3 linked regions of the Saccharomyces cerevisiae S288C genome follow. The gene in region 2 interacts genetically with the main gene of each other region. Each region holds a gene or a part of one and is shown on either strand. Other genes may lie near its edges. The genes, in order: SCD5, ARK1 and CDC50.

The links.
Region 1: of ARK1 (region 2) and SCD5, a mutation in one rescues a mutant of the other (synthetic rescue), as found in Saccharomyces cerevisiae (one study listed by BioGRID).
Region 3: mutations in ARK1 (region 2) and CDC50 together harm fitness more than expected from each alone (negative genetic interaction), as found in Saccharomyces cerevisiae (2 studies listed by BioGRID).

What each region holds. Positions count from the first base shown.
Region 1 is NC_001147.6:936,464-941,349, forward strand, and holds SCD5 (Scd5p), read right to left. Parts: upstream 2,887-4,886; coding exon 268-2,886; downstream 1-267. Other genes in the region: ATP-binding cassette multidrug transporter PDR10, read left to right, coding at 1-34; DNA-directed DNA polymerase gamma MIP1, read right to left, coding at 3,158-4,886. UniProt on the Saccharomyces cerevisiae protein: Regulates both fluid phase and receptor-mediated endocytosis. Involved in vesicular transport at a late stage of the secretory pathway. Regulates actin cytoskeleton organization.
Region 2 is NC_001146.8:595,262-600,147, forward strand, and holds ARK1 (serine/threonine protein kinase ARK1), read right to left. Parts: upstream 2,279-4,886; coding exon 362-2,278; downstream 1-361. Other genes in the region: histone deacetylase HDA1, read left to right, coding at 1-86; YNL019C (uncharacterized protein), read right to left, coding at 3,115-3,969; YNL018C (uncharacterized protein), read right to left, coding at 4,675-4,886. UniProt on the Saccharomyces cerevisiae protein: Involved in regulation of actin cytoskeleton organization and endocytosis.
Region 3 is NC_001135.5:284,762-289,647, reverse strand, and holds CDC50 (aminophospholipid translocase regulatory protein CDC50), read right to left. Parts: upstream 2,887-4,886; coding exon 1,711-2,886; downstream 1-1,710. Other genes in the region: YCR095W-A (uncharacterized protein), read right to left, coding at 1-9; OCA4 (Oca4p), read left to right, coding at 390-1,478; CCR4-NOT core subunit CDC39, read right to left, coding at 3,205-4,886.

The sequences.
Region 1 (4,886 bases), on a different chromosome or scaffold from region 2:
GGTTCCAAAGAAAAGCAAAAAATTAAAGAAATAATTAAATATTACTGGCTACATTCATTGTATATGCAAAATTAGTTAACTATTGTTCAGAGGTTTACGCCATGTTGCTAAATGTTTGGTGAAACTAAAAGACTAGCTCAATAATCAAGACAATAAATAATGCTAGTAAACAGGTGTTCATAAATTACATCACTTTTGTGACTTTATGTACACATATACCTACATATATTATCTTTCAAAACTATACACCTCGTTTAGCTTACGATACTATGGTCTCCTATTATATTGGATTTGTAAAGCATCGACTTGCTGCTGCAATGACTGCAAGTTACCCAAAATATCGCTTGAATTGGATCTATTAACATCTGCAGTGAATGGAAATTGCTGCTGCTGTTGCTGTTGCTGTTGATGAACTTGCTGCCCTAGCATTCCGTAATTAGGCTTGTTAGGTTGGCTATGTATATCACTGTTGTTTAAGTGAAGTTGCCCCGGATGTTGTTGCATTTGAGAAAGTTGGCCACCATATATTCGTTGTTGAGTTTGTTGTTGTTGTTGCTGCTGAATATACGTCTGATGAGATTGAGTATTGTTCATTGCCGCACTAGTATTTTGGAATGAACTTATGCCATTACTGGCGTTATTGCCATTAACAGTAGACGCATTTGATGGCGTAGGATTTGGAGATGGTGAAGAAGAAAGTAAAGATTGAAAGTAACTATTAGCAGCATTCTGAGGTGACAAAAAATTTGGAGATTGTATGCTTGGTGAATTTGTATAGGAGGGTTGGGTCGGCACCAAATTATTCTGCTTTTGCACGTTAGAGTACATATGTTGAGGTGGCACAATGGCCCCTTGTTGCTGCTGCTGAGCGCGTGGAGGTGGAGGAGGTGGAAGATGTTGGGGCTGCTGTTGATTATTAGTATACGTATTCTGGGGGGATATCATTGTTGCTTGATTATTGGAATAAGTATGTTGCGGAGAAAGAATGGGCTGATTTTGAGTGAAGGTATTTTGTGGAGATATCAATTGCGACCGTTGGTGCTGCGGGATCGTATTTTGAGGAGAAAGCAAATGCGATTGCTGATGTTGAGGAAGAGTGTTTTGAGGGGGGAATGCACCAGTTATTTCTACTTTCGGCATGGATACGATGTTACCATTATTAATCCGAACATTGTTAGAGTAGGTGTGTTGAGGCGATATGTTAGATGGTTCAATTTTCGCTTGAGTCGGATTAACCTCTTGGTAAGGTTGCTGTTGATTGCTTTGAGGAAGAGTAATGTTCGGAGAATTCAGAAATGCTGGTCCTGTACTTTGTGGAGATGAAGATTGGTTCGTAAATTGCGCCTGAAACATCGAAGATACTGGGTTATTAACTGAAGGTGAGATATGCTGTTTCATCAAGTAATTTGCAGAACCTGTGGCGGTAGGTTTCAAAGGTTGAAGTCCCCCAGAGTTTGTAACTGTTTCTGGTGTACTCGAAGGTTTGATAGACTGAGGTTGTTCCATATGACTTCGCATCAAATAATTTGCAGAGCCCGTTGCTGTTGGTTTTAAAGGTTGTAAACCTGTTTGGATGGCACCGTTGCTTGGATGCAACCCCTGATTATATTCTTCTCGCACCAGGTGATTAGCTGAACCTGTGGCGGTTGGCTTCAAAGGTTCTAACGGAAGTTGCTGTGGAACAGTGGTGTTATTCACATTGCTAGTTGGTAGAGTATTGCCATTCTGTAAAAATACCGATGAAATTGGCAATGAGGCAGAATCAACAGTCTGTATTTGTTTGAAATGGGACAAGGAATCCTTCATATCCTCCAAAACTTTCTTCTCCTCCTCAGTTTCTTGTTGTTCGCTGGGCAAACTCGAAACTAATCCGCTGTTTTTTCTCCGCTTATATAGCCTCTTTAATAATTGATCCATGGGCAATGTGAAATCCAAAGGACTGTCATTATTAGAATCCTGATCTTCATCTTCTGCATCAGGATCTTGCTTTCTTGCTTCACTATTATTAGATGATTCTTGATTGAGGTTTGGAGGGTCTTGAAATGTTATATGCTCTGAAAACCTAACCTTCTTACTCTTAAAATTCAAATTTTTGATTCTTCTCCTGACTCTTTTTCTCGTTGTCTTACCAGTCAACAGCAATGAAGCAAATGAGTCAAAATCGACCTTTTGATCACCAGTTTTGGCAGAACTATCATCGTCTTCCACCTCCTCGTACACCTCTTCGTGATTCTCACTACTTAGGATAGGACGTGGTTTGGGAACAGGTGCCTTTTCCAAGATCATGCGTCTTAGAGGTAAGATGCCATATATAATAGCTCTAGAAACTAATCTTAAAACAGCGAAAAATTGACCAATATTTAACGCATTTTTACAGCTACGGAAAATTTCCACAATTCTATCTTTTACTTTTTGTGATAAATTAAAATTGGTCAAGAACCTAAACACGTCGTTCAATCTTACTAGTTTTCCATGGGTTCTCAAACATATATAGTGGTACCATCTTAGATATGTCCTTATTTCTTCATGGGTAAGTTGGTTTTGTGATAAAGACAATGGGACTTGCATGTCTTCTGGTGACTCCGCGTACACATCGCCTCCAGAAAGTGTTCGTACCTCCCCATTAGGTGGATTATCCTTTTGAGGAGAGCTCACGTTAGTGGCATTATCAGCTGCTGTATTTGAGTGATTATTTCTGTAAGACAAAGTTGTATCACTGTGACTTCTTGATCCCTGATCCCAAAAGCTGGAATCATGTGGAGCAGCAGTATTTATACCAAAATCAAAAGACACACTGGGTGGTCCTAATCCATTCGATGGCCTCTTTTCTGCTTGGTCCCCGCTGCTTAAGTCCAATCCCGGAACATTAAGCCAATCAAACGACATGTTTCGTTACCATGTAAAATTTATCGAGCCTGCAATGATCTATAAAATCTTAGCTAACGAGAAGATGCAGATAATTTGGGTTTTGAATTCCTATTTTGAATTCTACCTTTTGTTTTGTCCCCGTTTCCTAATGTTAACTCTTTTTCTAATAGGGGCAACTTACTTTTGTTTTCTCATTTGGCGAAAAAAAGTAAGTAGAAATAAATAAAAAAATAATATTATAATGTGCTGTATATATAAATACAAATGCGAAAGCTAATGCAGATTTTGCCTAGTACTCTCTAGAAATAGTAATGTCCCTTTCCAGCTCAACCAAATTTCTATTTGTAGTGCTTGACTTCCTTGCCGGCAATTTTTTGGAATGTACTGCTTTCGCAGTCTTTCTTATTGGCGATGATGATGCCGTTCTTGCTTGTGATGGTTTCTTTTTATAATTAGATTTGTCGTTCAGAACGTCGTCAATCACTCCATCTATAGGAATATTAAAGAATTGTTTTTCTGTCTCCAAAGTATAGTCTAACGGTTTATTTGCACATTCATAGAACGCTTCAAATGCCTTCCTGCCACCATACACTCTTTTGTACTTCCTTTCCATAGGCGTGGTATTCTTTTTTCTGGTTAATTTTTTCTTATTTTCGTCATCTATCCTGTTTTCCTTCTTTCTCCTGTTCTCCAGCAATTGCTTTTCTGGGATTGCTGAATCGTTAGCAATTTTATGAAGTGTGGGATAATCTGGCATATTGACAGGTAATCTGATTCGTTGATCAGCTTTGGCATTTTTGGTACCATCTAAAAAATTGGATCCCATAATACGTACTTTAGTCCTTTTGCCCTTCTCGACATCCTTTATATAGTCTAGGAGGCTGTACTCTGCAGTGTTCCCATCTCTAGCGTATTCTTTGGATGTACACTCCCGCAGATACTCATCTTCTAGCCGATTCACATCGCGCTTATCTGACTGGACTTGCATCGCAAGAAAATATTTTAAGAACTCTGGAGTATAAGATTTATTATATTCTTCAAATACAGGTTCTCTGTAGTTATAGGCATATTGTGATACTTTGCTGTCGATATCGAGATTTGGTTTACCCAATTTACTATTGGATTTGTCTAGCAGTTGATTGATATCAAGCGCCTCCCCATGAGGAATGGCGGTTTTGTTCGAGGGGGTTATGCAGTCCATATTGACTTCTTTACGTATGACAGAATCAATATCTACTTGCGAGAAAAAGGCACAGTTTTGCGGTAATTCATTTATCCCCATTTGCTGGCAAAACATTGCTCTCGTCCATATGTTGCTGATTTGCAAAGCCATAGCAGCTCTGTATTTGTCCTTTTCGCTCACCAAAAATCTAATCTCATCATGGATGGAAATGCAAAGCCTTGCCTCAAGGTTATATTTCTTAATAATATATTCCATGGAGCAACAAAGAAGATGTAGATAATCCACTCCAGATGACTGGATGGCCCAATTGATTCTTGAAGGTAGAAAGGAATTCGCCCTCAGATTTTTCTTCATAAGTGAATAGGTAATACCACATCCCAGTACCGGTGTCTTTGGAGTTTCTTGTTCCGCGATGCTTTCTAATTTATTGAATAGAATTGACTCAGATCCACCATACCAAAATTTTTTGAATAATTTTGATCTTTTCGTTTTACCTTTCGTATTTTCATATAACTTATTCGCAATTTTTTTTGTCTCTTCATCAGTTAGAGATGGGTTAAACCTTTTAAGTAACTGACTCGCAAATTTAGCACCAGCGCCGTAAATTCTACCATAATTAAAAATTTTCGCCTCATTACGAGAACACCCCAAAATTTGAGCAGTCTTCGTGTGCAAATCTGTACCTTCGTTTTTAGTGCCTTCTAAACACATCCAACCAATGGCGGTACCACCATGAACATTGAAAATGGAGTCACCGACTAAAGATGCTATCCACAATTCCTCACTATCCACGTCCGCCCCAACAAAACAATAACCTGGAGGAGCTTTGACTTGA
Region 2 (4,886 bases):
GGTTAAACAATATAATTGAAGAAAGATTTGAAGAGGCTACAGACTTTATACTGGATTCGTTTGAAGAATGGAGTGATGAAGAATGAGGAAAAACTGGCCATTAATAATTTTTTTTCGGCAACCTTCATGCCTTATGAAAGTTGAATAATAATAAAGTTGTTACAATGTTCATTGTATAATCCAATATATCTAAAATAGGAAAAAGAAATGAACAAATGCATTAAGCTGTGTTTTACTAAGTATTATGGGAAAACGTATACATTAAAGTGGATGCTTACATATATAACACATTGTAATAAAGGTTCTTTGAACATGTTACCAGCCTCTTCAGAGATCGATCCGGTTCTGTTGAGCCAAATACTCACTTATCCAAGGATAACTTTCGTCCCGCGAGGAGCAGTGGTTTTGGAGGAGGTTTAGGCTTTAAATGTGAAGGCTTAGGTGGTGGGGTAGGTTTTGTTTTTTTGTCTTTTGAAATCGGGCCACTTGATTTCAGCATTGTTGGCTTATCTATCTCCCCTTTCTCATGCAGCTTGACCTTGGACATTTTCCTAGCGTTGAATGACTCCTCAGAAGAGTTGAGTTTATCGATCATACGCTGTTGAATGGAGTTCTTCAAATTCTGCTTAGATACGTCCAAATCTTCATAAGATGGTTTGTTAAGATCGTCTTTGGAATTATCAATCGTATTAACGAATGTCGACTTAAAAGGTGAATTTTCGTGTTTCAAATTTACCTTTGTAGACGTTGGGGTGAAGCTAGTGCCTGGTAGGCTTGATGAAGTAAGAGATTCCTTTACGGATTGGTTTTTTTTTATGTTACCGCGTGTGGAATAAGAACCTAGAGATCGAGTTTTCTTTAATTCATCTACGTCTCCAGAATAAGATTCATCTGAAGAGGAAGAAGAATCTTCGTACTGGGGTATTATGTTTTGTAGTGGAAAGTCTATTGAATTATTCTGCCTAAAAGTATGTGCTTCAGAGACAATTGCCTGCTTTAACTTGGTTGCGGAATTTGCCTTGAGTTCGTTGTCATTATTTGAAACACTACTCGCTAGCGGTTCAACAAGTGGAGGATCCAATGCGTGGTACATATTCTGTGATTTGTCAAAAAGTGGTTGAGAACCTTTGGCGGAATTACTGAAGCTAGCGTCATATGCTATTTGTGATGGTTTTCTATTAGGATGCATTTGTGCTGTTGTAGTATTATCAGCCATGCTGATTTGAAATGTAGCGTTCGGCATCGTATTTTCCATGGTTGTGGGAGAGTTCAAGCTTAGAATATTTTGTGTTGCCGAAAGCTGATGAAGTTCGGTCAAATTCAAATGGCTACTGGGCGCCTGAACCACTTGTATGTCATTTATTGGACACGGAACATTTTGCATAATTGATATCCTCTTCAGTAGTTGATAAACGTTAGGCCTATGGCGCGGATCTTGAACCAATATATCACGTATTAAGCCTTTCAACTGTTCACTGTAGTTCGGATACAATGGAAATTCAAACTTTCCGCTTAATATGGCAAGATCACCGCCCTTTTCAAACGGTGTTGTGTAATAGCAAAGCTTATATAGAAAAATACCCAGCGCCCATATATCCGACTTTTCATCTATCGGCAGACCGCGAAATGTATCAATCATCTCTGGCGACCGGTACTGTGCAGTTGTGTTTTTCAAAATGTCTTGCTGAACATATGATAGCTCTTGTGAATTCCTAGGAGGCCTTATAATACCGCATACAGAACCAAAGTCACAAAGCTTGTACTCATTATTGGCTGAGATAAGAACATTTTCTATCTTTATATCACGGTGAATTAACGGAGGTTGCAAAGCATGCATAGCGGCAACTCCTTGAGTAACTTGGCTCATTATTTGCAAAATTTCAAATTCATGAAGCCTGTTTTGTAGCCTTGTGTTCATAAAATCAATGAGACCACCTCTTTCACAATATTCCATTAAGACGAATACTTCATACGAACCATTATGTAACATTGCCTTAGCTGCATGAGAATCAATGTAAGATACAACATACCTATTGTTTTTCAGCAACCTCATAGCATCTACTTCAGCTCTTAAAGTGTTTAGACTAGGTTTGTCTGGAACAATGACTCTTTTTAAGCATGCAACGCTTGAATTAGAATGTGGGTCAGGTGGGTTGATTAACGCGGAATATACTTGAGCGAACCCACCGCTTGTTAGATATTTAATGATCTCAACCTGATGTGACCCAACTGTTAACTGTGTACCTACATTGTAAGTGCCAATTTGAGGTTGATTCATGTTGATTTATCTGGTTGCTTAAAATACCTAATTATGCAGAGTAATATTTCTTTCTCAGGGAAAGAAGTTGGCAAAGAAAATATAGGACCACGAAGGAGAAACAATTAGCACTTTTAGGATGTTTCCTTGGCCTATTCTTATTTTATTATCATGAAAAAATTATTTTTTCTGCACGTTGATTTACCAAAAGAATAGTTAAATCAACAAGGCTTAGAATTCGGACCCTATTGCTGCGAGGCGAAAGAGGGCTATGCATAAACATGAGTTCGAAATAACCCGTAAATCATAAACAAACCTAAATAAGCCGTGGTTAGCGGCCTTTTTTCGTTATTACCCCAAGATAAATGTGCAGCTCTTGTAAGCTCAGCATACATACTTGTTGAGTGTGTCAGGAACTGTTTTCAGGAACCCAAGGTTGAAGTGTTAAAATTAAGAAGCTGGATTGTGCTCTCCATATTAAATGAAGCGTAGTTACAAATCGTTGGCATGGAGAAGTTTGCCTCGTGTTTACATTTACAATACTAAATAGTTGTACTGAGGTTTGACGAATATAAGGGAGTAAGGAGCGCATCGTGTTTCTCTCTTCAAGTTAATACTATGGAGACCTTGGCCATTTGAAAGTACTATAAAAAGCCACTGAAGTAGTATCATTCCCGGCTGCTTCCAAGTTGGCGAGCCGCAAGACTCAATGCCGCTGTATATTTTTACTGGGAAACAGGTTTGAGTGTTCACAGATTGAAATTTTTATTAAGACCTATTAAGTGAAATACTGACAGATACTATGTACATGTAGGGGTAAGTTGGTGTATGGTGTGTACAGCCAGGAGCAGCTCCATCTATAGCAAGCTTGAAGAGTACATATGGACGCTTAGTAACGTCTGGTTAGGCCGGTCTCTCGATAAAACCGCGAACCCGTTTCTTTCCCCCTGCCAGTCCTCTCTGTTAAGAGTTGAAGCCAGTTTAGTGATGCCGCCCAGTACTTCTATCGTATAATCTCCAAAAAGTGTGTATAGTTCGCTTACAGAGGGCATTTTCGATGAAATATCCGCGAACCCCAAGGCGCTCACTGATCCAGCATCTAAAATCGAAATACTCCCATGGTTGTGGTGGGATAGCGAGTCCAGAGTGTACTGGTCAAAGCATATCTCTGTAGACAAATCGTGGAATGGCACTATCGAGTTTTCTCCGACGGTCATGAGTAGACATTTCTGCCGGTTGCTTCCTTCGAACGGGTACACTAGTTTCTGAGTGATATCCATTTTAGTAAAAGCTTTCCCGACACCCTTTCCGAAGATTCTGCCGACCATTTCCCCAAATCCCAGTCCTACCATTTTTTCCATATCAGCATCGCTATTCAGCTTATTTTCCTGCAGATACTTCAGAAGATAGCCCCAAGCGGTGAGTAGTAGGACAATAAAGTTCAGCGCACAAGAAGTTATTTTCAAAGGACCCTTCCACTTAAATGGTGCGCAGTTGAAAAGAAACTGCATGGTTTGAATTATGTTAGTAGCAGTATTCAAAGCGGTTTCCGCTTTGTTTTGTGGTTGCGGTGCGGCAGTCACAGTTGTGATTTCGGTGATTGTTGACGTAGTAAATACAGTTGTTACATCGACCGAGTGACAAAGTACGGTTAGGGAGGTAACCAACGCAAGGAAAAGGACGGTTGTCCTTGATTCTCTGGAGTAAAGCATAATCTCGCGCACGCTCTTGCTATTGACAGCCTCGTTGTATCAACTTGTGTTTAGGAAAGGAGGCAGAATAAAGATTAAAAATGGAAGAAAAGACTCAATGGTTCCAGCGAAACAAAGATGTTTGAAAAAAAAAATAATTCAGAAACGAGTCTCTTGTCAGGAAAGCAGTGTCAGGAAAACAGTGTCTGTTCTATAGTTTGTGTTGTGTCCTTCAAGCACTTTTGGTGTTAAAAAACCTTGCTAAAGTTTTGTACAGGTTTATACCGTTGTGCAAAAACTGCTGCTAGGATAACTGAACAGTTGTTTCTGTGGCAGATGTTGTGAATAGGCGCCTTTATTTTAAGGGTCCAGTGATCCGCGATGTGAATAAATACGCGCGCCTCTCTCGAAGGAACCTTCTGGGGCTGCTTCTGTCGATAAGAAAGCTTGGCAAAGGCCTTACTTGGCATTTAAGTAAAGCCTTTGCTTTACTGCTTCTTTCCCGCCTTTTTGGTGCATTGGGTTAATTGATGAATATGCGTAAAATTTAAATCAGACTATGAAAACATATATAACAACTATTACAAGAGAGGTGGTAGTCTACTTGAAGAGGCGCGCCAGAAGAAAACGGTGGTAAGTACGAAGTTATGTGTAGACTAACTTGCTTGTTAAAAAGTATTTGGTCAGCCGTGCCAAACAGTTCGAACTATCAGAACTTCTGACGGTTCACTGATGTACAAAAGTTGAGAGCCATTTTCGTAACCAGCTTTTTGTCCCACGCTCAGAAGGATGCATTGGTACGGTCACTTCGATATTCCTTCTTTGTGAGTGGAGCCAGAGCTTTTTATTAGTTTTTAGTTCAGTTGCTGTGCGAGACTCACGAACAAGTAGCAGCCGGCATGGTTTAGATGGTTCTGGCACGGTAAGCTGAGGAGCGC
Region 3 (4,886 bases), on a different chromosome or scaffold from region 2:
AACTGTCATCCAGAAGCCCAATGCTCAAGCTTTGAATATCATATTTTAAAAGTTTTTTATGACAATGAAATTTTGTTTCTCCAAGTCAGGACACGGGGAAAATCTTTACTTTTAGTGCTATCCATAAATATACAGTTCTTTAGCCCCATATTTTATCAGTAAAACTACTTATGGCTGTCCTTACCGTATGCGGTATAATGAAACTTTTGAAAGGAACATCTTAATATACCGCCTTGACATATCCGGGTAATAATAATACAATATTCGGAAGTTTTCTAGCATTAAATGGACAGTAAGGTAAAGAAATGAGATGTGGTTGTTATATGGAGATCGTAGAATAAAAAGAGAGACACTTACAGCACTGGTGCGATCCATAACCTGAATTCATAATGCTGGTTCCACCTGCTAACTTTGGGATTGCTGAAGAAGGAATATATAGATGTTCTAAAGTGGAGACATTAAATTTATCCTTTCTGGAAACTCTCAATTTAAAGACAGCTATATTTATTGGAGGTCAAGAACCATCCAAGTTTTTCAAAGATTTTTTCACAAGATCATCCATAAAATGGATTGTTTTAAGGATGTCTGATTTCTCGGCTGCGGCAGTTCCGGTAAAAAGCTCTTCTGTATCTAACGCAAATTTATATTCGAATAATAACAGTACTCTATCATTACAGGAAGAAAAGAAAAAATCCACTGCAAATGGGTCACAAAATTCTACTACAGGGGATCCTGTAATTCAGGAGGAATTGGCTTACCACTTGACTGACAATGATGACTTAATGCTGATTAAGAGCACGTGTTTAAAAAGAACTTTCAAAACATTATTGAATGTGGATAATTATAATGTTTTATTGGTAGATAAGACCGCGTTGGTCATTGGTATACTTCGAAAAATTCAGAAATGGAATATTGCATCAATCATAAATGAGTACAGATTATTTTCTGGTAAGAATAGAAATTATTTTGCGGAAACATTTCTAGAAATAATTAACATTGAGATAGAACAGGAGAAGGATAATAAGACAATTGTGGACAACAAAGCAAAAAAATTGCCCCTTGAGAATAATAGGACGCATTCGATAGAGTATAAGGCCAATTCTGGCAAACTTATTAGAGTAAATGAAGATGACCTTTGCAGAGAGCCAGAAGTGCCTCAGCGGCTTTTGACATTAATAAATCAAATCGAAACCAAAGTGAAAAATAATAAAGTATTACAAGTAAGTGGAGTTCTAGGAGACGATTTGAAGAAAACCTCTTCTGACCTAGGAATTTTTGGCCATAGGTATAGATTAGCATTTAATAAAAAAGAAAATGGAGATTATGGCTATTATAAAGCAAGGGGAAAAGATAACGTCAAAATAAGGATACCCTGTGATTCTGAATTACCAGATTGGTTCAGGTTTCAACGAGATTTGTGGGAAAAAGAAAACGTTCCGGAAGAGCATCACTTTTATAGGGAACATATTTTTACATAGTTTACATTTTTACGTATATGTATAGATGATTTCATGATAAACGTTTTCCACTTTTCTATCATTTCATCATCTAAATGGGAATAGCAAACCCTGGGAGTTCTTTGTCGCACTATTTTCCAAGCGTAAAAAGGCATACTTCAATTTTTCTTTTGTTTACGTTTCAGGAAGTCAACAAAACTTGTTTACTTATAAACACAAATACCTACAGGCACTAAAGTTTGTTTTTTGGCCTCTATAAAATTTCCCTCAATGTTGTATTCTCTGCGTGTACATCCTCATAATCCTCGTTTTCTTCATCATCAAAATTCAAATAAGTGTGATCACCCATCGCTCTTGGTTGGAAGATTAATTTAACCAAAAAAATGATGCCAAATAAGGCGCAAAGCCCTGCAACGATGAGGTACAGTACGCCTAGTGACATATTTCTACCACCAATAGCTCCATTTGTAGTCAGTACAAATGATTTTGTGCCACCAAAGAGTGAAATCGGATAATTCAACTCAATGTTCATTTGATATTTACCCTTCGGTAAAGAAGCAGATTCATTTTTCAACGTCAACTTGTAAAACTTGGGAAAGGCTGCAGTCCTCATCCATACCTGGAACTCTTCCCAAGTATGGATATCAGGAAGATTTTCATCTGTATACCCATCGGGATACTTCTTCATCCAGTTTGGCGGTGGAACAATATCGCTAGCATTATACTTGGTGGTTTTAAATCTGTGACGATCAATACTCCATGATATATGCTTGTTAGTTAAATTATAGTCTTCTGTGTCATCTATACCACTCAACACCTGAGAAAATGTATCATTAAACATGGAATTAGCGATCAACCCACAGGGATATATTATTTTGTCTTCCCTACTTCTTATTGGACTACAGCTTGTATCCAGATCATCTTTTTTGATAGGCTCCCCTAATATTTGCTTTGTGTCAAACGATTGGACATATCTGCGATGATTTTGATAAAAATTGGTTATTTTATAATATATAAAAATGGATTTCTTGATATCGTTTGGGATTTCGAACTGCAGTTCGCATGATTGTTCGCCATTTTCATTTTCGGTTAGCCTCCATTGTGGTTTATTTTCAACTTTACTTTTAAAGTGATATTTAATGTACTTCTTTGGTATATCTTCAAAAGCAGTTGTAGATGCTTTTGTATCACAATGACTATAATCAATTGTTAGATCTTGTACCTTAGTAGCGCTTACAATGAGTCCAATACCAATAGGAGTAAATATACATGCAACGAATATTAACAACGGAAGCACACTTTGAGGAGACAGTATTGGTTGCCATGCCTTAAGCCTTTGTTGTCTAAACGCTGTGTTAGGAGGCTTTTTAGAAGTGGGGCCTTCTTTCGTGAGCGGTGGAGCCTTACCTCTTTTGAACAATGAAACCATATACAAGCTGTTCTATAGAACTTCAAGTTCGATTACTCAATTATTCTTTGTTCGCAGTGCGTCATGGACATAAGGTAATTGCAGCTCTTGTTTGATATAAATTGATGCTCATTATTATTATTATTCTCCAAAACAATAATACGGGTAACACTAATTTTCAGTAGTTCAAAAGTGAAAGCGACCCATATACAGTAAGAAAAGTTAATCGAAATTGCTTCTATTCTTATTCAAAATAGTATTCTCTGAAATATAGTATTATACAAGTTATATTTTTTTTTCTGAAATCATGATTTTCGTATATAAATAAATGCAGTTTTTTTATGCGTTGGATTGTAGAGGGGTTTGCCTTCTATTGATGGTGGCGGATTGGTCATCTTGTTCACTGGTTGTGTATTTTTTGGAATATTTTACTAATTGTTGTAAAATTAGTTTAATTTCGGGAACACTTTGTACAAAGGGCAGGTCTAAAAGATTAATATCGTTATTGTTTATCAACTGAGTAAAGAAAACTGAAACACCCCAGGTATGTGGTTTGTTAACAATAATTCTTTTTAAAAAGTTTCTTAAAATAATTTCTTGGACTTCAAGTTTTTGATCATTCCATTCGTCACTTTTGAACATATTCATTAACACAAAGCTGAACCAATAGGTGTGGATGTTTGGATACCGCAATTGTTCCACAATAGACAGAATAATTTGATATTTCATTTCGATGCTACCATTTTGAATCAGATTGAACAATAAAGTATAATAAGAAGACTTCGTATTAAATACCGCATTTGAAGAAGTTCTCTTATACTCTATTCCAGCTTCAATGCCCACATGTAATACAATAGCGCGAATTAATTTACTATCAACAGATAAAAAGTCGTAGCCTACGCCCTTTTTTATGTCATAGGTATCCTTGTAAATAGCGCTTAGTATTGTTCTTAATAATGAATTTGAGGGAATACGTAGGTAGTTGTCAACTGGCTTTTTCAATGAGTGTAAATCAATTACAGGATCAAAGAAGACTTCAGGTAGTTCTTTACATGCTGGAATATCCTCCATATTAAGATCCACGTCATATGGGTTGGGAACGGTCATATTCTTAGGAATAGCAGATAAAATAACATTCTTTAGTTGGAAATATGTTGGAGGTAGATTGTTCATTAATTCATAGTGATTTTCAATCAAAAAGGATGGCATATCATTCGAAATGCCTAAAATAACACGCAGTGTTCCCTTATAAACAACCGAAACAGCGTCAGAGACTGCATGTTTACTTGTGTATTGGTCCAAAAATTTAAACAAATCGATAATCAAAAGCATTAACTTTTCCCAACCTATTTTATTGGGTAATCTTAGCATAATTGGTAATAACATTCTGTGTGATAATAGTGTCACCCATGCAAATGAGAATCCAGGGAAGGCAAATGGTTGCAGAGCGTGCAAATATCCTGAGAAAGTGTTGTAAAATACAGAATCAAATTCGATCAGCTCCTGCCTAGTGCTGGAATCAGATATTCTAACAAAATTGTGCGTCCTGATGGTAGCCCATTCGTATAAGATGTTAGAAAATAGTCTGAAATATGGTCGTTCATTGAATGTGGTACCCTCTTGGCTATGATCCTTAGCAAACACTAAAACGATCACAGAAAATATTGCATTTATGTAATCTCTTCTTGTATCATCTTTGAAACCCTGTAAAATCAACAATTTTATAATTAGCGATCCTAGAGCATCAATAGCGATGAAAACCTCATCAGTCGGGTCACTTTCTTTGAATGAAGAAACTGATAGCTCAAGAGAACTTTTGACAAATGTAAGTAAATTATCAGTATCGCTGATAACACCCTTTTCGACTAATTGCTTGATAAAAACAGTTGTGATTACGTCGTTATTCTCAACTCTTTGAAGTAATTTTACCCATTCCGTAAATACTAAGTAAAGCTTTTCTGTTCTTGTGGTTTTGGTACCTTTCCTCACTGGCATTATCTTAGTATCTTCGAACTCTTTGA